7 linked regions of the Daphnia pulex genome follow. The protein of the gene in region 2 purifies or fractionates together with the protein of the main gene of each other region. This does not show direct contact. Links are inferred from orthologs where the notes say so. Each region holds a gene or a part of one and is shown on either strand. Other genes may lie near its edges.

Region 1 (4,103 bases), on a different chromosome or scaffold from region 2:
ATCAACATTTTGCATTGCTTGTCGACTAGGTGTATCTAAAATGAAAATGGTTCAGTTTCTGTGCTTTACAGATTATACAGGAAATGTAATATCAATACCATTTATCAGAAAATGTTTGGGAATTGCTCCAGCATTACGATTCCTACGTTTGAAAGGATGGAACACGTTCAAAATTTAAATCCCTGATTTGAAGTCACTTTCGTCAAAATGACGGGAGCAAATACGTGAGGTGCTCGTCAAATAACTACATGGAATTAGTTCTCGCCATTTAGATAATGAAGTTTTAGGAATTGCAAACAGGGTAACCTCGTTTTCTTTTTGATTTCCTTTGAAATATGTTGATTTACAACCAGGAACAGCACACCTGCCAACCATTTTTACAGAAATTATGGTTAGGCTTCATTCACGTAATACACGATAATGGCCGCCGTATTCACATATTACACAAAAATGGCCGCCGAAAGTATTATTTGAAAGTCAACGTCTTATCACTAGATGGCGCTGTTTCATTTTTACCACTTCACAACTTCTGACAAGCTCCGCCCTAAAATGTCTGAAAATCGGGGATACGTTTACCCTAAAACCGGGATAGGGAAGCCAACACGGCCGAGAACCGACCAGGTATCTATTGCTCTGGGGAGACGTGAAATCATTGATCACGACTAACCGCTGATAAAAAGGCAAAAAGCCCTTCTAAGAAATTATAAGTAGGTTAAAGTTTTTATAAAATATAATTGGAATTAGAATAAAAGACTTTTCGAGGGTTGGAAGGTCTAAAATACCCAGTTTTTTGCAATCGTAATATTCTGATTTTTGGTAATAACTAATAAACAAGATGCAATTTGGTAATAAATAAGAATAGTCACGTAAAATAATTGACAAGTGTATTATTAATCAACCGAGTTTTTCTACTTACGTAGAAGTCGAATTACAGTTTTTTTTTTTCAGTATACTAAACACAATAGAAACATTCGCACATTACAACCACGGATGCCAAGCTGGATCCATCCGGCACAAATTGTCATTACTATTGGCAGCGGCGACCAAAGTGCTGACTTTAGACTCATTTCCATCAAAGGTTGATAACCCTTGTAGCCTATTTATTATCGCATTAACGGCTTTATTTACCAAACCAATCAAAATTTCTCCCTCCACCTGACCACTTCCACCAGTGTCCTTTTCCTTCTCGTCGGCAGTTTTCTTCTTGTGCCATGCTATCATCTCATCTCGCAAAACTGCTTTCAGAATAGCAGCGACTTTGACACTCGGTTGAACCAAGCAACGAGCCGCAGCAATCATACTTGCGGTAAGAGGACCGGCCACTCCAATCATTGTCAAAAACTCAACCATGTTTGGCGTTAGACGGAAAGGCACAGGTCTGTTGGCATCGAGTTCTCCGTTTGAGTCTTCAACATCAAACTTAAAGTATGATACACTTAGAAGGCCCGAATCTTGATGAATGTACAGCATATCTGCATTGAGTCGTGTGAGGTGTAGCACGTATTCGGCAAGATTGACCAGAGCCATTTGCAGCGTCAGCATTTTTCGGAATGTCCAATAAAATGTGGCTGACGGGAACGTGACGTTGGCCCATTCACGCAACAGAGTTCGTGGAACCATAATCTGCTGTACGTCTTTGTGAATATCTCGTAAAACTTGGTGGCTAGCCTATTTACAAAGAAAAGTTTGAAAATTTGACCATCAAAATAGAATAAGGGAGACTGCTTACCTGACTTCCTCTTGCTTGAATGGTGGCTAATCTTTCATAGTATTTAGCGATGGGCATATCATGTTCAATGTTTCGTTTAACACAACGTAGCCTGTAAATATCGAGTAACGTAGCACTGGATGGGTTGTCTTCTACTAGTCTCATTTGTGGAGAAACAGCCACAACACGAGGTACAGTGAAGTTCAGGAATCTCTTTGACGTTTCCTTATGCTTGTTCAAGTAGTTGTTTAACATTCTAAGCAGTTGCAAAACACGTTCCTCTCTTCTAGCGTCGCCGAGACCTGCATCGTTCACAACCAAGTATGGGTAGATCTTTCCATTGTGTCCTCGAATGTAGAGACGCCTGGCTGCCGTGTTATGCTTTTGAACGATTTCCACGCGCGGCAAGAAACGGGCTATCCGGACATAGTAATGCGTGTGCTAAAACGGGAAAGCGTAGTAAATTCAGAATTTATATAAAAATAGAATGATAACACAGGAAATCGATCGAAGTAACGAAAACCAAATCAGATCTTATCAGCAACCGTCATCGAATAGCTCGACCAATATGGGAGCAGTCCTTGTTAATAAGTTTTTCATCATTTTTGGCGGACATTTCTTATTGGGTTTCATAAAGTGAGAAGAAATTTTGTTTACCTTGGGAAGCAAAAATTCTCCGGGAAGTTCTACTTCCGCTGTTTGTAGATTAAAGTTGCTGAGGAACCGACATTTTTCTTCGATAAGGAAAGACCTAAATAAATCACACAAATTGGAATATATAAATTAGGCTGAGGAAACTTTTTCATGGCAAAATATAATGAATGTAATTTCCGAAAAGTATAATTTCATACCTGGGCAATAGTTTAGTTTTGGCTTCCAAAATCTTGATCCACTTTTTCAATTTGTGAATAAGATTGTGAAGCTTCATGGCGCCGGGCAAAGTGAAGTCGAAATCAGTTGAAAACTGAGTTTTCATTCGTTGAAACACTGGATCCTGAGCTGTGGCTTGAGCTCGACGTGCTAAACTTTCGGATGCAGCACTGCTAAAAGAACCACTTGCAGAATTGGCAATGTTTTCAATGCCTATTCCAAAAGTCGCCACCAGTTTTTTCACGAAGCTCAGCGTGTGCGGAGTGATTGTGGCTTCGGCAACGGATCCTCGATTTTCGAAAGCGATGGCATAACATTTTGCGAGACCTTGTCGCAACTGACGTAGTACTTCTTCATACCTATTAAGGCAAGCAAAACAAAAAAATGTCAATTTCAAATTTTGAAATTTAATCTAAGAATATTTAATTAGATGATGTTCTTACCAATTTTCTCTGAACCAAACCATTTGATCGACGATGCCTTCAAGAGAAGACAAAACAGTGGGATGCAAGTCTCTCTGCATGTGCATGATCCGTGAGCAACGCCACATAGGTTCGGTAGCCTTGATGGGGCCAGCTCCTTCCATCCCAGCAGCTGGAGTGCTGCTTTGAGGTGCGCCATTGGTGACATTAGCACTAGTCTCGGTGGAAGCTTGATTAGCAGCCAATTCCGCAGATTTATAGCGCTCTCTCTGCTCGATTTTCAGCGTCAGGTATAAAGTGCGGATGGGAAAGTACACTGCTTGTGGAAACATCCGACCAACTTGACTCAACAAGTTGAGCACTAACTTCCCTTCATCACGAACAAGGCACACCAGAAGTTGAGGAATCCAAGGTAACCATTGCACTGGCGGAACTCCAACACAATATTTGTCCAAGGATTCAGCTAATGAAAGCTTGTCATCGTCGTACGTCAAAAGCCAAAGCACCTTGGCCAGATATTTCCTTGATTTGGATTCGTTTTGGTGACGACACGCATGTAAGAAACACGTAATTGCAGAAACTCCGATCCCGATGTTGCGAGAGTCTTTGGTGAAAACTTGTTCCAAATGGTCACCCCATAAGGCCCAAGCTTTAACGAGCGTGTCATGCATTTGTACAGCGGCTGAAAAAGCTTTGTTAGCATCGTCTGCTCTGCCAATCTGAGCTAATAACATTCCTTTTAATGCGTAGAGCTCCGCCGTCATTTCTTTGGCAAAGTATTTCAAATTCGTTGATTCTATGACTTCGAGTCCTTCTTGTAGTTCATTTTTCCCCAATACGTTGGCAGCTTGAAGGTAGCATTTGACTTGTTGTCTGATTTTTTGGAAACAATCGACAATCGGAACGCTGGGAATACTGTAGATCCTAGCTAACGAATCAAGGCACACACCCGTTAAATTATGCTTTCGAGCCACTTTGCCGAAATGAATGATAGCCTGGGCAGAGGCGTGAACTCCAAGCATAGATTGAGCGCTGGCCTGTTGATCGCTTTGCTGATCATAATGGGACACGATGAACTGATAGTGATGTTGCCTCCACGTGAA
Region 2 (3,169 bases):
GGGGGTAACGCCATAAGAGGACTCAAGACGTTCAGTCGTCTTGAGAGAAACAAAAACTTTTAGCCCCAGAGCATCACACAACTGTCACAAGTTTCCGTTTCCTCGGCGAACGTCAATATCTACAAAGAATATCCTCTTTACTCGGCCGGCCAAACTGCAATGCGTCCATCGTTTCCCTGACAAAGACGTATGTTCCTACGCTTTAGACTTTGAAACACAACCACTCTTCTTGTTTATAAATGGTTCTTTTTTCCTCTCTTCTTCTGCTTTGCACCCCAAAAAAAAAGAAAAAGAGAAGAAAGATAGAGAAGAGGGGGGGGGGGGGGGGTCTCGGAGCTCTCAGCATAAAGCCATCATCAGCGTCAACTGTCGCCGGCCAAGTCCAATAAATAAGGCGACACCACTCGATCGCTCGAGGGACTGCTGGAAGGTGGCGAGACGCTCTCTGCTGGAGACAGCACAAAAAGATGGGCATTCATCACTTCTAGAGTCTCTCTCGTCGATCCCTTCATGGATAGCCATTTTTCTTTCCTTTTCTCATCTCGCTCCATTCCGTCAACCCGCTCCTTTCTTACCAACCAGAAAGAGTTATAAGCACCGGCCGACGCAACGACAGGATGGGGAGGAACTGTTTCGTTTACAGCAAACTTTAACCCGTTGCCAGCCATCACTCTACCGGACTCCTCCCCTTCTTTTTCTCCCTTTCTATCAAAGCTATTTGCATACGTTTTACAAGCGTTCTATACTCGGCGCAAAACAGTCGGCATCCTGCACAAGCCTTTTCGCAGCAAGACGACGGACGGCAGGAGAAAAAAAAAGAAAAACCGAAGGAGCAAAGACGGGGTTGAGAGACGAATGGCTCCTTATCAGACGATTTGCGTCATCTGAGATTTACGACCCACGGCTGCCGCATTCAGCCATATTAAAAAGCATAACTGCGACTCTGGTATGCTGTATCCGTCGTCCGACCCGTCTGCTCCATGTCAACACCACCACTACTCTCGCCGCCGCCGACTCTAAAGCTCCAGTGGCGAAAATAAATTCTACCACCACCCCTGGAATTGAAGTGGGTGTCGGTCAAAGCCATCACATACAAAAACCCAACGAGATATTTGCTGTGTTGAGAGCAGTAGACATAATTAGAAATACACTTTAAACTTTTTTTAAGAGTTTAATGTCGAAAAAACGGAGAAAAAAACGAACAAATCGAATCAATAATAAGGGAGGCTCAAAGCTGCTCGCTAATGGTGGGAGGACATTCAAAGTATCCATCTAATTTTGGGTTTGAAAAATTGTTGATCGAAACGAGAAATAAAAATTGAGGAAATCTTACGCGCAAGGGATTGTCTGCTAAAAATCGCCTAAGTTCTGGAGGATAGGGGAGAGGAAGACGGATTCCTTGTCACATACACACGAAAAGTTACGAGATTGTAAGGTGAAATATGTGGAAGGGAGAAAATGCAAATCGATTATCGAGGAGGAAGAACACCACACGGTAACAGAGCTTGAGGAGAAGTGGGCAGGAGAAGGAATGAGGACAAGTACACATGTTACGTTTTGGAACATGCAGGTTATTCATTGAAAAATGGAGCAAGGACGACCTGCGATACTGTCAGTGCAATAAGGGGAGAGAGGAGCATCGTGGTGGATATGCAAGAAGGAGTTTTGTAGTGCTTAAATCTTTCGACTTTTGCTTTGCGTTTGGGTGCAACCACTTTAAAGGTCGGTATCATACCAAGCGGCCTGGGCATCGTGGGGCGGTTGGGGAGGTGTGGCCTGACCCATGTGGTTAAGAGGATCGAAATCCAAATCAGAACCCATGTGATCTACCGGGGCGTAGTTGTTGGATTGAATGGGAAGACCCATTGAATGCCCCATATTCATCCCCATGCCCATGGTCGGAGATGTGGCAGAAGGTGGTGGGCCGCCATGGTGTGAACCGAGCTCCAATCCTTGCATCGATTCTACGGGTAGGGCGTCATATCCTATTTGAAAATTTAAAAAAAAAACACCACAAAATTACAATATCCGAAGTCAAAGCGAATAAAAATCCTCAACTGACTGTCTTCATCAATCACGGATGTAAATATGTATACAGTAACCACTAAAATTGTACCTTGACGATAAGACCTGCCTCCATCTTGGTTGGAGTGGACACTGGGTGGGCCTTGCCCATAAGGACCTTCATAAGGCTGGTCAGGTGCAAGAATATCCTGCTTGCCGGCCGATCAAGTGAACAAAAAATGTAAATAAAATAAAAACGTTGGATTGGAACAAATAATAAAACAGCGGGTGATAAAAGACTGGCAAATGGAAAAGGCAATAAAAAAGCGTTTGGGGATGCATGCAAGTTTTCATGCAAAACAAAAAGGGAAAAAAAAAAAAAAGTCATTCCAGGAGGCATGCGAATTAGTGCCTCACCTTGGTTTAGTTGTCGGTTAGTTCGGATTAAACTTTTGGAAGACAGAATGGGTGGGATGATGTAAGTTAAAGATTAGTATAGGGTTATTAGGGGAGAATGCAATCAAACCTGAAGATCGGGAGGCATCAAAGGCAGATCTCCATTCCACAAATGATGGTCTTCGCGGAACAAGGAATTGGTCAGCTCCATAGATAGCCTCTTCTTATAATCTTGGGGCTTGTCTTCAGACATGCGGAAAAGTACAGCAGCCGCATACGTTGCTGTTCAAAGAAGTACACTTTTAAAAGTCTATATCTCTTTCACTGGCACAATAATAGCTTACCAACACCCTCATTGCGAGAATGAAGTAGTTCTGTCAGAGGAGCAGTTGCACCCTCCTGTTCGATCATGTCGGCTCCTTCCTTATCAGAGGCCAGCTCGCAGAGTACGCCGGCAGCAACACGTTGAATATTTTCTATCTCGTTGTACAACAACTGCAATGACATTAAAAGTTAATACATATTGATTGCAAGTTTGAAACACGTTTTCTTACCTGGACAAAAATAGGGATGACACTCAAGCCACGAATAACAGCCCGGTTATGGGACTCGCGAGCTAAAATATGGAGGGCGCCTACAGCACCTTCGACAATTTCTTCCATCCTTACTCCATCGGCGTAGGATCCTTGTGGCTGACCGCTGCCTGAGCTGACAACCGACGAGCGCTAAAAACAATCATATTATTTAGAAAATTATAAAATGTGAAACC
Region 3 (4,731 bases), on a different chromosome or scaffold from region 2:
TATTTAATCTAATAAACGAGTTTGAATTGCATCATTACCTTTCTAAATGATGAATCTCGATGGCATATTTGGCTGCCAGCGCCGTGTTGTTGAAGAAACAAAAGCCGTACGCTTCGTCGCATTCCGCGTGGTGCCCCGGTGGCCGGACGACTCCTATTCCACTACGACTCTCACCGCTCAAAATACTTTCAACAATTTGGAGAGACGAGCCGGCTGAGAGCAACGCAGCCTGATAGGTTTCCGGACAGATGAAGATGGATCCGTACTGCCGTTCCAATTGGTTGAGAGTCGATTGCTTTTTACCAGCGGTCGCCGCAATCTCATCGATGTAGTCGGCCTGATGCAACCACAGCAATTCTTCGCGATCGGCATCTCGAGCATCCAGCCGGTGGCAGCGCTCCAACACTCCGAATTCCATCAATTTCTGGTAGATTGAAGTGATTCTAGCAGGTCGCTCCGGATGTCCACTGCAAAAGATATCGTCAAACAATTCCATAAAAATAACAAAGAACTCGAAACAATTTAAAATTCAACTTACGGTTCGTTGATATTACGATGCAAAGCCATTCTTTCATCGTAGATGAAACAAACGCGATGCTTAGGCACTGCCAAGCTCGTTTCTAAAATAATAAACAATTACAGTTAATTAAATTGTTATTTAAAATTTGTAATCATTCATGTCACCTTTAATGAGCTTATCAAGGCGCTGATCCAAGAGGTCAATCGTCTCATTGCTCTGCACTGGGTAGCAGTTTCGAGTGGCAAACAATGTTTGTTTGACGTCAGATCCTTCAAAAGTGACACTGGGTACAAAGTGCTTTCCTTCCTTTTGACTACCCACTTTTGAAGCATCAAAACGGCCCTGGAACTGTAGACATTTCCACATAGGGCGAAGCACATAAATAGCGCTCAAAATACTTTCCTGAATACTACAATAAGAGAAATGATGCAGCCCGCATTATATTCGTCAAAAGAAATCGTTTTACCTTTGACAAGGCTCTTCGACTTTTGCAATGACTGGGCAAGGATCACCAAGCAATGTTCGCAAGGTCAGAGCAGCTCCTTCGGCTAAGGATTTCAAGCAGTACCCTCCCTAAAAATAAACACATAATTAATGACCAGCACTAGGGTTTGGTCAGAGTAATAGATGAGTCAGCGGATTATACTTCGAGAACGACAGCCAGTTTGCCTTGGGCCAGCCCCATGAGTGATGACGTCAAGTGGGAGTAGCACGCGGGAGTGATTTCCATTTCGCCCTAAATTTGACAAAAGGCGTTGACAATATTAGTCACCGCATATCTTCACAATTCCTTCAGAAAAAGGTAGAATATAAAATAAGAAGAGAACAAATGTTGGACCTTCTCGTCGCCTAGTGCCGAATCGAAACCAGAGGAGACGAGAACAAGATCAGGGCGGAACTATTGCCATGCAAATCACAAGAAAAGAAGAAAAACAAAAAGAATAAGTAGGAAGTCTTGTACACTACCTCGAAACAACCCAAGGCAGCGTCATAGCCGGCTGATACAATAATCAACTCTGGTTGAAACTGAACAAGATGAAGCGCGTTTTTAAATTACAAGCGTATTTAACCATAGTATTAATATGCATTGAACGATTTGAATAGATGAAATGAAACATGGTATCAAGATGAGTTATTACTTCATAAGCCAGAGGCAATAGCAGCTGGTGCCAAATGGCCAGATAGTCGGCGTTACCCATTTTCGTTTTATTCAGTGGCACGTTCACGTTAAAGCCTTTGCCAACTCCACTTCCAATGTAGTGAAAATCGCTTTCACGAAGATTGGGCCAAAAAGCTCCGTGCTCATAACGATGAACCGAGAAATATAAGACTCTGAATATTCAATAAAGGTAACCCTCACATAGAATTGATTCAGTGCATGTGATAAACTAGATGCCTTTTTACCTGGGGTCTTCGTAGAACATTTGTTGAGTTGCCTGGCCATGGTGAACATCCCAATCAACAATCAGAATTCTTTCAACACCCTTGTTATCTAATGCATGCTGGGCTGCAACTGCTACATTGTTGAAGAAACAATAGCCACAATATTCACTTTTCATTGCATGGTGCCCTGGCGGTCTAAATAAATCAGTTTTGAATTGAAACAAAAGAGAGGAGTAAAATTTGCAAAGTATGTATATTACCTGATTACAGCCATTCCATTTTGTATCTTTCCATCCAGTATGGCATCAACCATCTCAACTGTTGATCCAGCTGCCAACAATGCTAGCTCATTTGTTGATGGATGAATGTAAATGGCATCATAACCTGAGCTGATAGCTTCTAATGCTTCAGCATCTGGACTGCCATCTGTTCCTTTGAGCAATTCAATTCTGTCTGGTGTGTGAAGTTTCAACAGCTCATCTTGAGTTGCCTTTCTAGGTTGAATTTCTACACAGCGTTGAGCCAACCCATATTCACGGCATCTGCAAGATTTTTTAACCATTATTTCACCATAAGCAGTTTAAATTTCAGACTAGGTATATAACTGATAACTGACCTTTCCAAAACCCGAGTGAATCTCTCTGGACATTCAGGGTAATTGGGATCCCAAAGACACTGGTGTTCAACCATCCGTTCATCATAAACAATTCCTGTTTGGCCACGTATCTTATCTTTAGAATCCCGAGTCTACAAGAACAGAGTGATACATTCATCAACATCTAGCTTCAACATTATCCAAATTAAACAACGTTTAACAGTCTTAACCGTCCTTACATTTTGCAAGTGATCCACAAACACATTTAATTTTTCATTTTTTTTATTCGATGGTGAGCGACCTTTCACGAAATTCGAAAACTTTGTTTGTTTACTCATTTCGACTTGTCTTGTGGGACTGCTAAATTCTTGACTGCAGCCGCTGACAGAACTCAAGTGCAAGTCAACAAACAAGCTCTTGAGTGAGACATCTGGTGAGCGTCGGTTAAAACAAGCTCACACTTATTATACCGATGCACGAACGAAGTTTGAATTGCCTATCGAAATATGAATATACGAGGTAATTCTAAACTACTGCGTTATTTATTTATAACGGTTTCTTATTAAATCAAATTATTAAATTCCAATTTCCAAAGAAACGGGGTTTACCGTTGAAATGTGATTTATGCTATTAAAATTGATTACAACCCCTTTAAGTAAGACTGTGTCAAGTTACACTCATTCACGACCGATATAAAGCTTAATTTTTAATCAGTTCAGATGATTAAATAATTAAGTCAAATCAAACAACATACCGAGTACTCTCCTAGCAGACGAACGGCATGCGTTTGTGGAACGACATCTGAACGACATCCATTTTCGAAGACGAAACAGAACAAACTGAACAAATCATCGCACAATTTCTTCTCTAGAGTTCGTCAAATTAAATAAACGAGACCAAACATAATAGAGAGGAGGACGTTTTTATTTGTCAAGAAAACTTAAGTTATATGTGTGTGGTTAGTCACAGCTTTCTCAGTTTTCAGGCTTTTTTACGGGTTTATGAAAGATGACGCCATATTCAATGATTAACAACATAATCTTTATGGTTGAAAAGTTAATCCCTTTCGTCGGTGGTATTTAGTTGCAATCAATTGGTCAAATTACAATTTCTCTTAGCAACATAAAGTTTTATTCCCTCGGGTTCTCTTCGGCTCTATGAAATTCTATCCCCTCCCACTCTTTCTCACACCCTTTCAAGTTTCGTTTTCTATTCGTTTTCAGCCCCTTACCCTTCACCCTTCAGTCTGCAATTTTGCTGATGCTGGGGTCTGGGAAGTGGGAAGTGACTCAACACTCAAGTGAGAGCTGGCATTCGCATTTCATCTTTGTTGAGAATAACACGTGTTTGTAACAGTCGCCATTTTTCTACGTACTGAGCCATGCAGTCGTCAGCGGACAATGTCTGTCTCTCTGAATTACAAATTTCAAAACTTGATTTAGAATGGAATGTTCAAGTGCCATGTCTAGAAACTGTTGCGGCGTGGATGGAACCTCTGGAATCAACGTTATTTTCAGCTAGAGAAACTCCTGATCGTCTGTGGAAGCTAGTACTGTCTGATGCGGGTACAACATTAACTGTACAACTATTTCTTACAACTCCCGGATTCGCTAACTTCAAGAGCGTCACGGCTGTCGACCCTTTTCGCATGAAATTATCAATCCTAAACGGGAAACGACAGAAAGTTCTCCAGCAAGTATACGGTGTTCAAAAGAATGGCTATTGTAGCATCCATCTGAATTTTCTCAAAGATGCAATCCTAAAATCTGAGTGTCAGCAATTGAACGGAAGTCTCGTCTTCCACTGCGAGATTGAATCGTACGCGAAAAAAGAACCTGTCGCAGGTAAAGCTAATCTAATCCAAGACCAGTCAATTAGTTGCAGTGATCAGCTGATTGACCACTTTGAATATTTGTTCGAAAACATCAAGTACGCTGACGTCACTCTAAACGTCGGTGCTCAAAAATTTCAAGCACACAAAAGTATTTTGGCGTCAAGAAGCAAAGTCTTTGCTGCCATGTTCGAACATCCGACCAAGGAGAAACTGTCCAATCAAGTGGAAATTGAAGACATCAATCCGGATGTATTTCACGAGTTGCTTCGTTTCGTGTACACTGCCCGTTTATCTTCAAAGACCATGGAGAAAATGGCAACTCAACTTTACTTTGCCGCAGACAAATACTTCTTGGACCAGCTGAAGACCGAGTGTGAAGTCCATTTGCTCCATCATATG
Region 4 (4,200 bases), on a different chromosome or scaffold from region 2:
TGCGTAGTTTTTTGTGCGTCTCGGCGGTGAATCAAGCGTTAGGAGCGGGAGGGAGGTTTAAAACTTCATTTCCTTTTTTGTTTTCCTCACCACTTGGTTTATCCAATGACAACTAAACAAACTAGAGAAACCACTTTGAAAGATGAGCCGATAGAGGCAAAAGACGTTGGCTGGAAAACCCCCCCAAAAAATGGTTAACCGATTAACCAGGAAAAAAATTGGTTTCATGGGATGTCGCCCTAAGAATATTTATGGTAGAAATCGAATAAAGATTTATACTGTAATGTAGTAGTGTAAGTATATAGAAAATGTGTCTGCGTGTCATTTTCTTTTCCTTTTTTTATGCGCTGGTTTCCTTCATGGGGGGCGTGGGCGGGCGGGGATTACATTGAAAAATAGAATTCGATGTGGATTGAGTGGGGGGGGGGGGTTATCTTTTCACATGTGTTATTACATTGTAAACGTGGAGTCCGTCGTCAGTTGTACTTCCCCACCCAATCATTAAAAAAAAGAAGAAATGAATCATTTTTCAAAATCATTATTGTTTGTTGTTGTTGTTTCATTCCCTTCCGGAATTGTTTTGGTTTTTCATCCGAATAGGCGCTCGAAACATCCGTGGCAGTACGGCTTGTCTCCTTGCTCTTTGAACGTGCCCTTCTTCAACTGTTTCAGGCAATAGGAGCAGACAAAGTGTTCCGGGTGAAACTTCTTGAACATGGCCGTGATGCACCGACCTGATTTTGTTTTGTTTTTCGCGTGATAACAAAAGAACAATAACAAACAAATTCATTCACATCGTATACAGCAGTTACAGTATAATGGGTGAATAGAGAAAATGAGGTTAAACGGTTGTTGTTTTTTCACGCAAGTGTTATGGGGGGGGGAGGGGGATGTCTATTAAAGAGAAAATAAAGAAGAAGAAGAAAATCGTTACCGGTAATCGGCTTATGGCATCCGGCGCAGAGCGAACCTCTCTTGGCGTGGTAATGGATCTCACAGTAGGGCATACCCTCGTGAACGAAGAACGATCCGCCCTGGAACAGCATGTTGCAATCCTGCAAGTTGGAATGGTGGGGAAAAAAAAAAAAAAATAACAATTTAATAATCGCATTAGCAAAAGATCCATATTTGCTTAATTACTAAGTGAGGGGGGGGGGGTAATTGTTGTTTTTAATTAGACACCCTTAACGTCACCCGTACGCCGTTTGTTGTTGGAAAAGAAATGCCTTTCATTGAGTCGCTTTTAAAAATAAAATGTTAATAACGACTACAAGGGAAATGGCGAAGGAGGAGCTAGCAGAAAAGAGGGTCAAGAGCCCGAGACTAAGTGATTGTTTGACAGCCAACTACTGGTCGTAGTTAGTAAAGCCTCTCCAAAGAGCCCAAAAATAGGCGAAAATAAAAAGAAGAAAAGTCCGCGCCATTCTGCGGCGAATTTTCAAAAACCCGAAAAAAAAATATAACTTTTTTTTTTCGTACGTGTCTTTTATGTTCTGAGAATAGAAAAAAGGAGAGTCGAGAGAAAGGATGTCTTTATTTATACGCTTTCGCCAGCCTATAGATAGTATCCCTCTTCTTCTACTTCGCTAGAGCGGCACCGGAGAAATCTCTTATGACACGCCATGCGTCATCCGGTCGTTTACAGTTCCTCGAAAGCTGGCTTCAAAAAATTTTTTTTCTGCTGGTAAAGATCGACCGAGGGAGGAGGGCACAGCTGTGCAAAGCGCTTTATTCAAACCCCCGGGTCCAAAAGCTTTAAAAAGCGATGACAACAATCAAATGGACAAGACTAGCGCGCAAAAAAGAAGCCAAAATACAAAAATAACGAATTCTAATTTTGAAAGAAGAAGAAGCTCAAAGGTAAGCAACTTCATCCCGGCTCGGAGCTTGTCTCCGCCCTCCCACGACTTGACTGATTTATTCAACCCGGCTCTACACACACAAAAAGAAGAAGAAACCCATTGCGTGAACCGAACCATGGGGAGTTCACGAGAATGACGAACTTGCCTTTTACTTTGCAGCGCTCATTTTGCGTAACGATGTGAACTCATCCGCATCGTTAAAATAAACCCACCCAACGGGTGTGTGTGTTGTATATAGAAAAGAAATGTGACTGAACTAAACGAACTGTACTGCTACTACTACCCCGCCAAACCAGTCCAACTATACCATCCATCCAATAGTGCATGAGCCTCCCCGCCACCGAAGAGTCGTTAATCTTTTGTTTCTTTTTTGTTTTATTCTCTGACTATATGTACCAAACTGGAAAAAGTAGCAGCAGTAGAGTAGTAGTATGATTTGCTCGTTCGAGTGGAACTCTTTTTTCAGGTATTTTTGGTTTTTGGTTTAACTTGTTTTCTTTCATTGTCATTTTGTGCGAAAAAGATTCATCATCGCCAACATACATAACAAGACACAACACACAAAATGGAGAGAGAGAATAGAGAGCGAAAGGGGGATAGAAAGAAGAAAAAAAGTCAGAAGAAACAGCCAAAAAATGAGCCAATAATAAATTTGTTTTAAATAAGAGGAGGCACTTGGGCATGTCGCGCGGTGGGTGTGTTGTTATTTTTCAGGACTAGAACATCATCATCATTTTTTTGGTTTGTCAGGTTTCTTATTTTGTAAAATAAAAACTCGGGACTGTTTTTTCTGGTGGGAGTGGCCAAAACTACTTCAAGAGGAGCGAGAGAGAGAGAGAGAAAAGTGTGCGAAAGGAGAAGTGAGATAAGAAGCGCCGTGTGTTTTTTTGGGTTTGTGTTTTTCTTCTTCCTTGAAAATTTTCAAACACATTTTGGTTTGTTTTTGTTTTGTTTTTTTGTTTTGGGGTCACGGGGGTCACTTCATTGGCTGTCGTCGTCGTCTTCGGCATCGGAACCGACGCCCATACACTTGCCGCAAACTGGGCGCGAGTCGACCGTGTAAAAAGATCCGCCGTTGAGCGAAACGCGACAATCCTTCTCGGTCAAGAGATATATAAGAATGTCAACAACAACAACAACAACAGCGAAACGGACACACGTTACTAATAGGATTGTCTAGAAGAATAACCTACCTTCCAGGGGACAACATATCTGACGTCAATAAGGAAAAACTTACCCTGCAGACGAAACAATTGGGATGCCACTGGCCGTTGAGAGCCGAGATGTAGCCCTCGGTGATGGCCGTGGAACAGCCTTTGCACTTGAGGGCGAACATGGCCAGGTAGTCCTCCTTGCAGTATGGCTTGCCATCCTTCTCCTGGAATCCATCCTCGCCAAACTGGCAGCCGCATTGGGTGCAGAAAAAGTGATCCGGGTGCCACGTCTGATCCAACGCCGTCACGCATTTCTGTAATGGAACCAATTGGCGACGCGGGGGCGATAAAAGAAACACAACGTCCGAAAAAAAGAAAGTTAGTAGGAACATGTTAGGAAAAAGAAACAACAACAAAAAGAGGCTGCCAACAAGAACAAGTTTTCGGGTGATGAGGTGAACCAGACCAGCTGTCTGACACCGTCGTCCATCCATTCATCCGTTTCATCAGTCAGCCAACGTGCGTGACTCTTGTGATGGCTTCGCTCAGTTCGTTCGGGGCCACTTAAAAGTTCTATTTATACATTCTGGATAGTGAGAGAGAGAGAGAGAAGAGCTCTCCCGTCCAGGACCAACTGGACCCAACGCGTGTGTGAAATAGGGTCGGAATTTGCCAAATCAATTGGGCCCGCGGTGGGTGTTGAAACAACCAGGAAAAAGGCAACAACGTACATCTAGAATGGGTCCGTTGCAATAAGCGCAACGGGGCGAGAAGAGGTGGTGATAATCGGGTTCACAGTAAGGCTGGCCGTCGCGTTCGAAAAAGTTTTGCGTTCCCAACTCCTGGCGGCAGTGGGAGCAGACAAAGTGCTCCGGATGCCACGTCCTACCAAGAGCCGTCACCACCTGAAAACCCCACAACAAAACAAAACAATACAAATTCAATTAATTCAATGGTCGGGTCAATTGAATTGAGGGGGAAATGAAAAAAAGTCGGACCTGCCCGACGATGGGCTTCTCGCAGGCGGTGCAACATCCTTTGGTGGTGGCGGAGATACCTTGTTTGTTCATGTCAGCCTGTTTGAATCAATCGTGAAATGCAAAAACGGAATTTTAATTACAAGAACCGATAAGGAACGAATGAAGAAAATGTAAAATCAGAAAGTCAGTAGTAGAGAGAAATGG
Region 5 (3,926 bases), on a different chromosome or scaffold from region 2:
TGTCCAGAACTATCAAGAGCCATTGTGCTTGCCTAAATGAAAGAACCCACTTGTTATTATTTATTTTTGTTTGTAAAGTAAAAAAAAACAAAATTAAAACAGTATTATTACCTGTAGATCCTTATGTTCAGCAACTACATATTCATTACTCCATTTGGCTGCCATTTTCTTCTCCCTAAGAAAAAATTGAAGACATTAAAAAACAAGTAAACTGAAAGCTCAGAAATTGAAACACAAACACAAAGATAATGTCATTTCAAAGACAGAGTAGAGAAAATCTCAGTTAGGTGACTTAGCCTATATTATTGAATAAAATTCCCATTTGAGAACACCATTTTTCCATTATAATTAGTATTAAATTTACAAACTTCATTAAATCTAATTATTTGATTACTTTTTTTAAATTGAGGAGTAGAAATAGAAAAAGTTGAAAGAAGAAAATATAAACAGAACAGACGAACCGAAAATTCATGAGGGCGTAACGCGCAAGCAAGTAGCAGACGATTCAAGGATTTTTTTTTTTTTTTTTTCGAATTCAAATCGATTCGATTCGATTCAAAGGAACTTATTGAGAATGCTTCCGCATTCCGGAGTGGTGATTCAATCAATGTCTCATCATCTCATGACCCTTACATAATAATACTACTGATCATTTTAAGTTAAAATCTATAGTTAATTTTTAAATAGACTTTCGGCAACCATCAGCACGCACCAGTGAACATTTTCTTCCGACTTCCCGTGAACAATTATTTCTACGAAGAAAATGCAATCTATGCACATTATAAGAAACACTACATATTATGCATACAAAACGTATGCAGGGAAAATTATAAAATTAATGGTCAAGCCGTCAAGGTATCATGCCTATCATCTACCTATGAAAACCAATGATGGTGTCTAACTTGCAAAGCATTTCTAGTAGCTAAGCCCGGATATAATCCGCGAGTCCCTTTATCTTTTTCTTGATATGCTCATTTTCAGGAGACCATCTAACGAAACAAAATCTAAAAATAATGCAGTGTTCAACACACTGACACACACACACACACACACACACAAAAAAACCAAAACTTGTACATTATAATTGGCAAAACGGGAGGTTGTCTAAAGCACGAGCTGTTTTAAAACATACAGTTAATTCACCAGTGCACTACGGAACTTCGTACAACTTGTTCTTTTGTTTGACTATACACTTAAAACTGCTTTTTAATTTATTGTATTCTTGGCTTGAAAACATGAAGTTGGATACAAAGGTACATGTAACATGTGAAAACAAAATTTCGTCGAGATAATTTACTTTTCTTCGCACCACTCGTTCTCCTTGCGTACTTGCTCTTCCTCACTAGGGGTGAAATCGTTCTTGATGTTGAAGGTCTTGCGAATCTCTTCTGGGGTTTTCCCCTTGATCATGTTTGCAACAGTCTTGCAAGTAACATCCAGCAAGCCTTTAATATCCAGATAATTGGCAGCCTAAAAACAAAAATATGTACATTACATTTCACTAACATTTTTAACTTAAAACAATTGTAGAATGTTTTCATAGGTGTGATATCAGAAAATGAACACTTACCAAGATGAGTTCAAACAGAGTTCCTTGATCTACTTTGAGGAAATCAGCATCCCATGATGAGATATCATCAGTACGTTTTTCCTTATTGTCATCATCCTCTGGTGGTGGGGGGTCATCTTTGTGGTAAGTTGCCCACTGAATTACTTTACGTAGAATAGCAGAATTGACATTGGGTAAAGGAACAACTTCTTCGTCATCTTCATCCATTCCTAAAACCAAAATTGAATTTCAATTGAACGTTACCTTTTTTAAGCATTTGAAAAGAAAATAATGACGCATTTGCCTATAAATATCTTTGTGGTGCAACTTTTGATTTTATTTGTTACATTAACATTAAGCTTATTGAAAAATATTACCTAGATCCTCAAGCATTGTTTTGATTGTTACTGAACACTTGGCAATTTCGACATCAACCTCAAATGTTTCTCCATCGGAACTCTGCAGCTTGATGTTTGGCATTGTGTGAATTGTGTTTGTTCTCTGAAAACTGAAATACACAAAAAAACTTTTTGATAACCAAAAGTCCAGCAGCAAAGAACAATGAATGGATCAAGCCCTCAGGAGAACCAGCACACACATTCCAAACAAAAATAACAGTCAAGAAAATCACATCATTATGGGAATTATCTCAAACATTATGGGTACATTTTCGAGTTTCTAACTCTCTAGTCCGTATTGTAATAATGTTGAGAAAATTAAGCTTGGAGTTCAACAAAAAATTAAGCAAATTACGTACTTTTCTATAAAGGTTGCTCTAGAGCAAATGGCGCTGGTGCTGGTCTGAAAAATGTTCAGTAAAAATGAACCCTCCTCTCCTCCCTGTTTCGCTCTGTGATGGAAAACATCACTGCAACTTTCGCATCGCATAGTATACACTCGGAGGGGAAGGGGCGAAAGTATACCAACAGTCATGTTAAAGCGGTTTTTATGAAAAACGTGTTCTTTTCCAGTTTTCGAGATTTTTGAGTTTTGACTTCTGTGTATTCTACATTTCTTTTTGTTGGCAAATGGCAATATATAAAACCAATTAACTGATTTTTTTCTCTCTCCGGTTTTGCACAATTCGAGATGGCCAAATCCCCAAAATATTTTTTCCAAGCCATGGCGCCATGCGCAGTTTCCCGTAGGGATTCTAGTCACAGTCGAAGGAGGCTCAGTTTCGACACGCCACCGCTGCAATTCAAACTGCAAAATTCAATTGCAGTAATTAGACACTTAAATTTACGTAATTGTGACACCAATCACGCAAATTTTTGTAGGCATTAGATTTAAAAAAGAAATCTCTTTAAAATGGATCACATTTTACGAAGATATAATATATTCATTTTTTAAAACAGCGATTCTAAGTCAAACGGGGCTCAGTTTCGAAACGCCACCGCTGCAATTCAAACTGCAAATTCAAAACGACACTAAACATTAATACAAAATTTACGTAAATGTGTTACTTATCATGAAAATTTTTGTATGAAAGAGATTAAACAAAGAAAGGTCTTCAAAATGGATCACATGAAGATATACTAATAGCTGTATTTTTTACACAGCGATTCAAAGTCGAACGGGCTCACTTTCCCGGCTTGATGTGTGTCAACCCAAAGCTATAGTTTGCAGGCCTAACAAGAAGCGAATTTGGTGGCAGTTTTTACGACTGCCCGGCGGCCTTGTATACATGTAGATCCCCACCAAACGTGAACAGAAAAGCGTCGGGTTTGTTTGTTTACGTTTAAAAGCAAAGTAAGTTTTACCAGTTTTACTACTGGTTTAGACAAACAAATTGGTTTTTTACACATTTTTTGGTATGCCTCAAGTCCATAGATAGTATGTAGAATTTCAATTTGTGAGTGCAATCTACCACAATTGACAAACATTTCTTACTGAAATATTTTCCTTTCCCTTTTTAGATGCCTGGAGAAGATCAAATGGAAGATGAAGCTGAGACTATGACATTCCAGGCCAAGATTGCTCAGCTTATGAGCTTGATTATCAACACCTTCTATAGTTGATCTCCAACTGCTCAGATGCCCTAGACAAGATCCATTATGAATCCCTGACTGACCCAAGCAAGTTGGATAGCGGCAAGGATCTTAAAATCAAGATTGTCCCCAACAAGAATGACTCACTCTCATGGATATGTAAGTTGAGAAATTTGAAAAGTTCCTCCTATTTGAACACGAATTTGACTGTTCTGTTTCTCTTTAGTGGTATCGGCATGATCAAGGCTGATTTGGTTAACAACTTGGGTACTATTGCCAAGTCCGGAACTAAAGCTTTCATGGAAGCCCTCTCTGCCGGAGCTGACATCTCCATGGTTGGTCAGTTTGGTGTGGGTTCCTACTCTGCTTACCTGGTTGCCGACAAG
Region 6 (3,957 bases), on a different chromosome or scaffold from region 2:
GCGGACAAGGAGATTAAACGCCTTACGGGTGCCATTTGTGGGTTGGGTTACGATCAAGTGAAGCAGCAATCCTTCTATCCTGAACATGATATGGAACTTACATTTGACTCGGAGATTGGTCTTACGGTTAGTGTTTATACTGTTGTTTTCTATTTCACGAAATATTTACACAGTTTTTTATTGTATCTCCCTTTAGGATGTGCTTCTCATCAACAAAATTAGATTTTGGTTGAATTCCGTTATGGGCGCACCGTCATTCAGTCAGCACCACGCAGCGCCATCCCAGGAGCGCATGAGAGAAGTCAGTCAGAAAACGCTTGGATTTTTGTTTGAGCTCATCACCAAACCGCGTGGTGACGTCAAGTTCGAACCCTCGACCAGCTATAAATGGAATCTCATCAAACCCGAAAACCTTCTACAGTCGGATGTCGCTGAAAGTCAACTGGATACTCTGATTCCACTCCACGACTGTATCAAGCTTAACCCCTGAAGGGATTGCAGTCTAATCTGAAATGAAGCATTCTTATTGAAAAACTTGTTTGGAGTATTGGTAAAACCAATTGTTTCAATCCAGAACCAAAATTAAGATATGTCGGTATTATTGCTTTGATTTGTTGTTCCTACATCGTGTCCTGTTTGTGAAACAGTCGATGAATGCTAATTGTTTTGAAAAATACAAAGAATTCGATAACGTTTCTTGTATATTGTTCGTTAAAGAATTGACAAATACTTTAAGTATTTAATTAAGTTTTCAAAGCCCTAAATCAGGGGTTTTACCTCCTCGACCTTCTGCAAAAGATTTTGCAATTTGTCGCTTCATGTCATCATCGCCGTCCTGGTAGAGTTGCTTCATCATGTTCATCATGCTCGCCTGTGGATCGTCGCTGGCTGATGCGTCAAATTTGGGGGCTTTAGATTCTTTGATTTTCTTTTCTTCCATAGTAACAGTGGGCCAAGTGATTGGTTTAACTTTTGATAGAAAGACTACCACAGAATCTGGAAAACAAGGGGGACAGGATTAATACACATGTCACTATACTTTAGTGTAGTATTTTTTTTACCTGTTTTTACTTTCCAGTGGCTCTTTGATGCATCAATAACTTCAGCTAAATTTTTGATGACCAGAGAATAATTTTTACCCTTTAGTTCCTTAACTGAGAGGTCAAGGGATCTATAAAATCATACAGTTTAGTCATTGAATTAATGCAAATGTTTTTAACTATCATTGTACCTGGAACCAAAGGTGCAAACTACATTTTCAGCAGGAAGAGTTTGGACATCTGCCAGAGTGATGAATAGCTTGAAGAATTTGTCAGACTGATCCCAAGCTAAAGAGATAAATTACACAACATTAAATCATCAACTTTTCTTCAGCATAAAATTTTATAAAAGATTACCATAGTTTGTAAGTTTGACATCGTAACATCTGACAGCAGAAGCTCCAGCTGCGGCAGCTGGTTTTGCCTCAAGATTGAACATGTTGTCTTTGAGTTGAAGACTGATTTCAGTTTCTAAACGGCGTGTTTCGATGCCCAAAACATCTCTCACAGATTGGCGCGTGGCCAAGTCTGTCAATTTCTTCAGCTCATCAACATCTGCACGAAGCTGAAAGTTTCAACAAACGAGACACTAGTATCATGTACACGTCAATCATCAAGAAAATCTTATGAAACACAAGTTTTTAAACACAAAAAAATTAGGAAAAAATAAATGTTACGTACTTCATCAATAGGTCTAGGCATTTTGCAACTGTACTCAAAGAAAACCAACGTAAGAGTGATTTGACAAAACGAAATGTGCAAGTTGCAACCACAAGGGAATGATTAAATTTTTGTCAATTCGACGTCTTCTGCTTGACTGTAAAAAAACGGCAATTATGAATTGAACCAAGTGCTGCCTATGGCGAACTGCGGTTCTATTTCCAAGGTGTTGTGTTACAAAATATAATTCAACGGTGGGATCGGTGTGAAATATCAACCGCAGCTTTTTTTAAATTCGTAATCTCTCCAAGCATGTTCTCGAACAATCTTCTTTCAAATTCATGCTTTTTAAATACAAAAGCTTCGTGTTTTGGCTACTAGATGGCTAGACAGAAGCAGACGAATTTGTTGAATGAATGAATGAATTACAGATTTTTTTTAATGAGTGTGCAAGTGAAAGAGAGTACTGCTCCCGATTGTAATTTCGGGAATTATACAATCCCTACAATACCACTTCTTAAAAATGAGAACGGCTGAAGAATTATGGAGGTAAGATTGCCGTATAAACACGTGGGAGTATTTAAGCAAGGTTTTGGAAACTGTTACAGTGGGTGGGAGTACTCGTCCTTGTTACATTGGAAAAGCAAATAACTAACTAAAAATGTTCCTATACTATACTTGACATTGTTTTTGAATGATAAACTTTATCATGTCACATTAAATGTTTTTTGGTTTTACTTACCATGTTTGTGTTGTTTACTTTTTCTCAGGGAAGCGGGAGACACCAGATCAACTATGCCAGATGTCATTGATGTGACAAATGACTCTCACTGCAGCTTCCTCTATGTTTTACGCAACCTGTACAAAGACATTATTTTGTCAAATTTGGACTATGCACTTGACAAGAAAGTTGAGCAAGATTTGTGGAATGTGTGTTTTAAAGTTCCCATCTCGGGGCTGCAACCAAAACAAGGGAAGAAAAGTAGCAATCCCATCCTCAAACTGTTTTTGGAAGGAGCAGCTGGATTCTACATGTTTCTGCTGCAAGAAATTTGTGCCCAGTGCGACACAAGCTCATCCATCTGCAAGAGAAATGCCCAATTAGGAATCTTCAATGGCCCCTCCTATGCTCTCCAGCCCAAGAATGAGTCAGTCCTTTACATCTGCCAGCACTGCTTGATCCATTTGGGAGATTTGGCTAGATACAGAAATCTTTTGACTGAAGCCGAAGGATACTACAATCAGGCCATCAATGTTGAACCTTCAAGTGGACATCCTTACAACCAATTGGCACTGCTTGTATCAGCACGGGGGGATATGCTGTCCACGCTGTTTTACTACGTCCGCAGCTTGGCCCTCAAACATCCGTTTCCACCTGCTAGAATCAATCTCGATAAACTCCTGAAGAAACAATCTGTGCAAGTATCAAATTACCAGAAAACTCGCGGAGGTCGACTGAGCGCCGAAGAGTTTCTTCTCGCTTTTCTCAAGCTGCAGGGACAAATTGGACTAGGTGTCGATCTGGATCAAGCGGAGCAAACGGTAAATCTTTTGACATTGACTTGGCCATCGCTAGTGGCCACGGAAGCCCTGACTCCAGCACAATTGATCCGCATGCTGACCATCACTCTCTATTCGGTGGGCGAGTGTAGTGCAGCCTCGGCCACCGACGCCCAAAAGAGATCACTTCAGTTGGCTATCGATGTCGCTTCATCTGTTTTCAATGCTTGCTTAACAGCCTGTTGTTCACTGCCCGACCAACAGCTTCCCAACTCCAGGTACTTGTGCGTGATCAAACTTGTCCTCGATTGGTTCCACTCTCAGCCACAAGTGCTCACGAAAATCAAACGCGGCCAGCTCTGGTCGTCGACAGCGAAATTACTTAATCAGCTCCAAATTTGTTTTGCATCCAACGGTTCCTTCACCGTAGACGACGATGGAAGACCTCTTCCGGAAGATTTAGAATTGCTCGAATTCGCTCCACTCCGCCCCTCTTCTAGATGGCCTTCAACGCAAGTGACTCAAGTAGATGAGCATCGAATAAGAGCGTCGAGAATCATCCAACGAGGAAAATGGTTGACTGAACAACAATTTGGGTGTTTGGCGTTGACGGTGCAGAGTGGCGAAGACAAACCCGAATGGCTTTTCTCCAGCCTGAGACCGGATGAATCGCCTGTTGACAAACTGATTGAAAATTTATCGATCGAACCTGTAAAGGAAATCAAAATCTTGGCTCGACCACCGCAGCGCAACGTGG
Region 7 (4,200 bases), on a different chromosome or scaffold from region 2:
GTTGGATTCATTTCCCGACCGCATGTAATAAATAAGGGCATCGAACACATAGGCAATGTGCTTCAATGACGAGACGTCAATAACGGGCAGGGTGTCGGAATGCTCGCCATTGTGAGCCCGCATAAGTGAAAGGCAGTAATTCAAAAATTCGCGCCTTCCCGTCAAGGGATCCGGCACTTCGTTGCCCCGTTCTCCGCCAGCACCACCAGCCTGTCCTCTACGGCCGTCGTAAGTTCCAGGTGCAGCTCCCGAACCAGCCAGTGCAGAGGCTGCCGAACTTGAAGATGCGGCCGTTCGAGAGGAAGGTAAAACTGAACTAGCAGTAACCATTCTAACCAAAGTAAAATGAATTAGATACTCATAAATCGGAACGGGGGGGGGGGGGAAATAAAAAAAAATCAATACCTTGACAGCGGTGTTCTTCCATACAAAGTAATATGGTTTGAAGGTGTTCCGTTCGGTGTAGAAGCGTTGGATAAAGCTACTCCAAAGCGTAGCTGAGCTTCGGTCGAGTCCATGACGTTGACCAGCCAATCCCAGACTGGCTTCAACCTGAATTCCAAAAATTGTTGCAGCTGAATGGACTCTTGGTTGGTGATGTCCAAATTTCGCGAAAGGGTGGGAGCAAGTGCCGGATAATCCAAAAGCATCGTGAGCAGGTCTGCAATCTGACGAACGACCAGTCCAAAAGCCCGAGCTAATCCGCTTGCTGTAGTAGCCATGGAAAAGGGTTCCGGTACCACGGGAAGTGTAGCTGTGGCGGCGGCAATTGCAGCAGCAGCCGCAGATCGGCGAAGAGAAGTAGGTTCTAAGTACATCAAATTGGTGGTTGAACCACCGACAGCGTTTCCACTACCGACGGCCCCATTGGCGCCAGCGCCACGTACGGCATTGTTCTCTCGATGGCGAATGGCCCACATCATCGATTGCGGAGCCATGCCAGAGGTACCACGGACAGGGGCAGCAGCAGTGGCGGGTACGGCGGACGAAGGGTTATTATTGCGGCGTTCCAGTTGTTCGTCTGAGAACGCAAATTCCTCCGTATCTTGTTCGTCCGTTTCACCACCGTCCGATTCATCCTCTTCTTGACCAGTTGAATCGCCAGATTCATCATCAGAGAATAACGCCAAGGATGCCATGGCCGCATCGGAACCGGCTGTAGCTCCTGTCTGCACACTACGTTGGACCGAATTGTTGTCCTACAAATATTCAAACAAAGTAATACAAAATTTAATGAAAAAAATCCGTTCATTGCTCAACTTTTAAACACCTACCTGAGTGTGAGTGCTCTGATTATCGTTATCATGTTCGTGCTCGTTGTCATCCGAGTCGCTTTCGGTCTCTGCTAGGAGGTCCAGCTCCATATCCGATTCACCACCAGCATTTTCTCGTCGACCAGTTCCATCACCGCCGCGACCATTGCCTTCGGCATCTTCGTGTTCTGAATTGTCCGCTTCAGCATCGCCGTCACCTTCTCCATCGCCTTCATCACCTTCGATGGTGTCTAGTTCTTCAGACTCCATACGGCGAGTGGTGGCACGACCACCACCTGCAGCGCTGGAACCAGCACCGAGCGATCCAGTTGGTACAGAAGAGCCGTCCGCGTGTTCTTCGTCGGCTGCTCGGGGTGTTAGCGGTTGTAAGGGATCGACGGAAAAGAGTTCCTCGCTTCCATGAATGGCGTCGGCGTTGGAAGTCACCAACGGAAATGGGACAGTTGGACGGGCGACACCTAACCGGACGGGTACGATCAGGGCATCAGCTGCTTCGCACAGTTCTTCAATGGCCAGATTAATAAGAGCCTGGAATACTCGCTTGCATTTCATCAACGGCTGTGAAGTAACACTGGCACTGGAAGCATTATTCTTCTTCTTTCCAGACTGAGGAGCGATCTCAACGCTAAAAACGACAAAGACCCGGACGACCGAGCGCACGAATCGCCTAGCAGCAAGACGAGCTTCCTGTTGTCTCGACCACCAAGTCTTGTTCTCCATTTCAGCGATGAGCGTAGTCAAAAGGCTGTCCAGCATTTCAACCGAACATTTGACTAACATGCAGTGAGTAAATTTGTCCAATAAAGTAGTCCCACTTTGGCTTTGAAGATATGCTTGATCTTCGGCGATGGTACTGGAACCGGCAACTGTTTCCTCTTTGTAGCCAGAGAGCAACATGGCTTTAACTGATGACCAATCATTCAAAAGTCTATCCAATGCCATTCGGGAGAATCTCGGTGGTTCTAGATCGTGTTCAGGCATATCTGGTTCCAGTTCAGATGTTAAAACTTTTCTCGAAGCGGCGATTCCAGTTGATCGGGAACGGGCGGGTCTGTACTGTCGTTGTTCAGCCGACTGACGACCGACTGTCTGTACAAGGAAAAGCAGTATGTTCTCTCCTTTACTATTGGGTATGTTCACCAGATCCGTCTCGTGGACCAAGCGGCAGAGTAATTCGAATCGAAGTTTTTGATTGCCTACAAATCAAGATATAGAGTTAATAATCAAAGACTTTAGTAGAAATAACATTGAAATGAATTACCGGCAACCAAAGCCTTGCATTTACACTTTTCCCAGCAGTCACAATAAGCGGTGGGCGATGTGCGCTTGAGCTTGCAATCGTGACCCTTGTGACATACGCGGGCGCACTCGGTACAACAGCAAAGGGATCCCGTAAGGCCGCATGTTCGGCATTCAAAGATATCCTGATTAATGTGTTCGGCTCCGGTCCAAGTGAAGCTGCACGTGTCGTTGCTACAGAGAACATGGAGCGGTGAGTCATCCGGGCTGCAGCCATTCTTGCCCAATGGAAAAATGAAACTCTGCAACAGCTTTTTCTGAGCGTCCACTTCCGTTGTAATCTGTCGAAATAATCTAGTGGCCACATCTAGCAAAAGTAATGCTGCGGGGTAGGCACGAACGGCAACCGCTTGCATGAACGGTGTGTGACCTTGAGCGTCACGCGCGGAAAGGAGTGTCTGTAGATGAGGGGTCAGAGCTGGACTCTCGGTGATGGCCTTCAACGCGGCCAAGGAATTGGCACGTCGTTCAACAGGGTCGGAAACGGCAGCAGCCGCCATTTTGGAGGAGCCACATGCGCCGGCACTGCTCGAGCCAGCTTGATCGTCATCGCCGTGATTGGACGATTCCAAAGACATCGGTTCCGGTGGCCAATTGAGCGTCGGAATAGAAATGTTTTCTTCGACTACGGAACTACTACTGGGAACTCCCGAATCGGCTGTGGAACTTTCCGATGGTCGAGCAACAGCAGCACGCCTCATCATCTCTCTGAGACTTACAGCCCGGGAGGAAGTGCTCAAACCCACCGGAAGGGGATCTAGAGGATCAGCGATGGAGTTGGCGACGGGTGCTACATTTCGCTCGTCTTGAACGTCCGCATCTTTGTTTGAAGTTGGTGAGCACATGGATACGCAGGCGTGGATTACGTTTCGACCACCATCACAGCGTTCGTTGACGATACTCTGGACGCCGGAAAGGCGATAGGCTTCTGAAGACGTTTCTAAGCAGTTCATGACGTGGCGAACGCCATCGATATCGCAGGCCAGCAACTTGGGCATTAATAATTGATTTTCGGTGACGAGTACGAGTAATATGGCTTGAGTCTTCTGTCCAGGACCAACCCCTTGCAGAGAATGGGAACCGAAACCCAGGCAGCGCATTGGTGGCAAATCCAGCAAATGCGGATCACGAATAGAATCGAGACAGTCACGTGACAAAGGGTAGATTGTGCCATTTCCATCACGGAGCAGAGTCAAGGCGTCACCATCTCCTGTATTGAAGAGTCCAATGTTTCGTCCGACGTTGAGGCCCATGAACGAGGTATAGTCCGTTGGTATATTCGATTCATACTCGGCTTTTCCCGTGCTCAGATTGTAGATTGTGTACTTGAGCTGAGAGCCAACTTTGTTGACCGTGTGAATACCTTGTCCGTCTACTGAGAAGGCTAAAATCTGTCCGGGATCGGCCAACGTCACTCGTCGCGGGAGTCTTTGGAAACAATCAGGGATCCGGATGGATGAGCCCGATTTTACCACCTAAATAGAGAAAGAGTAACATTAGATTAGGGAAATTTCGTGGATTCAAATATTCACAATCGTCACTCACCTGCAATTCGTCTTTACGCAATAAACGGCAATCTTGTAGAAGCGAAGCAGGATCTTCGCTGCCGCTATTTGCCGGCACAACT

Evidence for each region.
Region 1: the proteins of armadillo segment polarity protein-like (region 2) and transformation/transcription domain-associated protein-like purify together in Homo sapiens (affinity purification with mass spectrometry; 3 studies listed by BioGRID, with this or other methods). This does not show direct contact. The link is inferred for Daphnia pulex from reciprocal best matches to the Homo sapiens genes CTNNB1 and TRRAP.
Region 3: the proteins of armadillo segment polarity protein-like (region 2) and histone deacetylase 6-like purify together in Homo sapiens (co-immunoprecipitation; 3 studies listed by BioGRID and IntAct, with this or other methods). This does not show direct contact. The link is inferred for Daphnia pulex from reciprocal best matches to the Homo sapiens genes CTNNB1 and HDAC6.
Region 4: the proteins of armadillo segment polarity protein-like (region 2) and paxillin-like purify together in Homo sapiens (affinity purification with western blotting; 3 studies listed by BioGRID and IntAct, with this or other methods). This does not show direct contact. The link is inferred for Daphnia pulex from reciprocal best matches to the Homo sapiens genes CTNNB1 and PXN.
Region 5: the proteins of armadillo segment polarity protein-like (region 2) and S-phase kinase-associated protein 1-like purify together in Homo sapiens (affinity purification with western blotting; 3 studies listed by BioGRID, with this or other methods). This does not show direct contact. The link is inferred for Daphnia pulex from reciprocal best matches to the Homo sapiens genes CTNNB1 and SKP1.
Region 6: the proteins of armadillo segment polarity protein-like (region 2) and calcyclin-binding protein-like purify together in Homo sapiens (affinity purification with western blotting; 4 studies listed by BioGRID, with this or other methods). This does not show direct contact. The link is inferred for Daphnia pulex from reciprocal best matches to the Homo sapiens genes CTNNB1 and CACYBP.
Region 7: the proteins of armadillo segment polarity protein-like (region 2) and E3 ubiquitin-protein ligase UBR5-like purify together in Homo sapiens (affinity purification with western blotting; 3 studies listed by BioGRID and IntAct, with this or other methods). This does not show direct contact. The link is inferred for Daphnia pulex from reciprocal best matches to the Homo sapiens genes CTNNB1 and UBR5.

What each region holds. Positions count from the first base shown.
Region 1 is NC_060018.1:6,515,866-6,519,968, forward strand, and holds the end of transformation/transcription domain-associated protein-like, read right to left. Parts: coding exon 3,022-4,103; intron 2,938-3,021; coding exon 2,560-2,937; intron 2,460-2,559; coding exon 2,366-2,459; intron 2,150-2,365; coding exon 1,730-2,149; intron 1,669-1,729; coding exon 979-1,668; 3' UTR 863-978; downstream 1-862. Other genes in the region: uncharacterized protein LOC124209007, read right to left, coding at 1-15. UniProt on the Homo sapiens protein: Adapter protein, which is found in various multiprotein chromatin complexes with histone acetyltransferase activity (HAT), which gives a specific tag for epigenetic transcription activation.
Region 2 is NC_060020.1:4,719,673-4,722,841, forward strand, and holds the end of armadillo segment polarity protein-like, read right to left. Parts: intron 3,126-3,169; coding exon 2,955-3,125; intron 2,896-2,954; coding exon 2,745-2,895; intron 2,683-2,744; coding exon 2,531-2,682; intron 2,214-2,530; coding exon 2,117-2,213; intron 1,986-2,116; coding exon 1,717-1,985; 3' UTR 1,201-1,716; downstream 1-1,200. UniProt on the Homo sapiens protein: Key downstream component of the canonical Wnt signaling pathway.
Region 3 is NC_060025.1:1,310,557-1,315,287, reverse strand, and holds the start of histone deacetylase 6-like, read right to left. Parts: upstream 2,920-4,731; 5' UTR 2,837-2,919; coding exon 2,738-2,836; intron 2,651-2,737; coding exon 2,520-2,650; intron 2,446-2,519; coding exon 2,164-2,445; intron 2,099-2,163; coding exon 1,925-2,098; intron 1,853-1,924; coding exon 1,660-1,852; intron 1,547-1,659; coding exon of another isoform or gene 1,487-1,546; intron 1,419-1,486; coding exon 1,359-1,418; intron 1,257-1,358; coding exon 1,167-1,256; intron 1,094-1,166; coding exon 987-1,093; intron 930-986; coding exon 685-929; intron 621-684; coding exon 539-620; intron 468-538; coding exon 39-467; intron 1-38. Other genes in the region: speckle-type POZ protein-like, read left to right, coding at 3,880-4,731.
Region 4 is NC_060022.1:1,457,212-1,461,411, reverse strand, and holds part of paxillin-like, read right to left. Parts: intron 4,093-4,200; coding exon 4,015-4,092; intron 3,922-4,014; coding exon 3,748-3,921; intron 3,331-3,747; coding exon 3,100-3,330; intron 2,958-3,099; coding exon of another isoform or gene 2,844-2,957; exon of another isoform or gene 2,332-2,843; intron 1,056-2,331; coding exon 935-1,055; intron 735-934; coding exon 589-734; 3' UTR 1-588. UniProt on the Homo sapiens protein: Cytoskeletal protein involved in actin-membrane attachment at sites of cell adhesion to the extracellular matrix (focal adhesion). Recruits other proteins such as TRIM15 to focal adhesion.
Region 5 is NC_060019.1:12,033,805-12,037,730, forward strand, and holds S-phase kinase-associated protein 1-like, read right to left. Parts: upstream 2,465-3,926; 5' UTR 2,438-2,464; coding exon 2,307-2,437; intron 2,058-2,306; coding exon 1,927-2,057; intron 1,780-1,926; coding exon 1,571-1,779; intron 1,471-1,570; coding exon 1,294-1,470; 3' UTR 1,201-1,293; downstream 1-1,200. Other genes in the region: GATOR complex protein WDR59-like, read right to left, coding at 1-32, 112-175, 462-472; heat shock protein 90-2-like, read left to right, coding at 3,692-3,699, 3,767-3,926. UniProt on the Homo sapiens protein: Essential component of the SCF (SKP1-CUL1-F-box protein) ubiquitin ligase complex, which mediates the ubiquitination of proteins involved in cell cycle progression, signal transduction and transcription.
Region 6 is NC_060023.1:1,465,181-1,469,137, reverse strand, and holds calcyclin-binding protein-like, read right to left. Parts: upstream 2,052-3,957; 5' UTR 1,743-2,051; coding exon 1,722-1,742; intron 1,606-1,721; coding exon 1,398-1,605; intron 1,329-1,397; coding exon 1,232-1,328; intron 1,172-1,231; coding exon 1,062-1,171; intron 997-1,061; coding exon 752-996; 3' UTR 684-751; downstream 1-683. Other genes in the region: probable ATP-dependent RNA helicase spindle-E, read left to right, coding at 1-126, 197-490; protein SMG7-like, read left to right, coding at 2,224-2,249, 2,471-3,957. UniProt on the Homo sapiens protein: May be involved in calcium-dependent ubiquitination and subsequent proteasomal degradation of target proteins. Probably serves as a molecular bridge in ubiquitin E3 complexes. Participates in the ubiquitin-mediated degradation of beta-catenin (CTNNB1).
Region 7 is NC_060021.1:11,107,622-11,111,821, forward strand, and holds part of E3 ubiquitin-protein ligase UBR5-like, read right to left. Parts: coding exon 4,119-4,200; intron 4,049-4,118; coding exon 2,536-4,048; intron 2,471-2,535; coding exon 1,275-2,470; intron 1,200-1,274; coding exon 406-1,199; intron 332-405; coding exon 1-331. UniProt on the Homo sapiens protein: E3 ubiquitin-protein ligase involved in different protein quality control pathways in the cytoplasm and nucleus. Mainly acts as a ubiquitin chain elongator that extends pre-ubiquitinated substrates.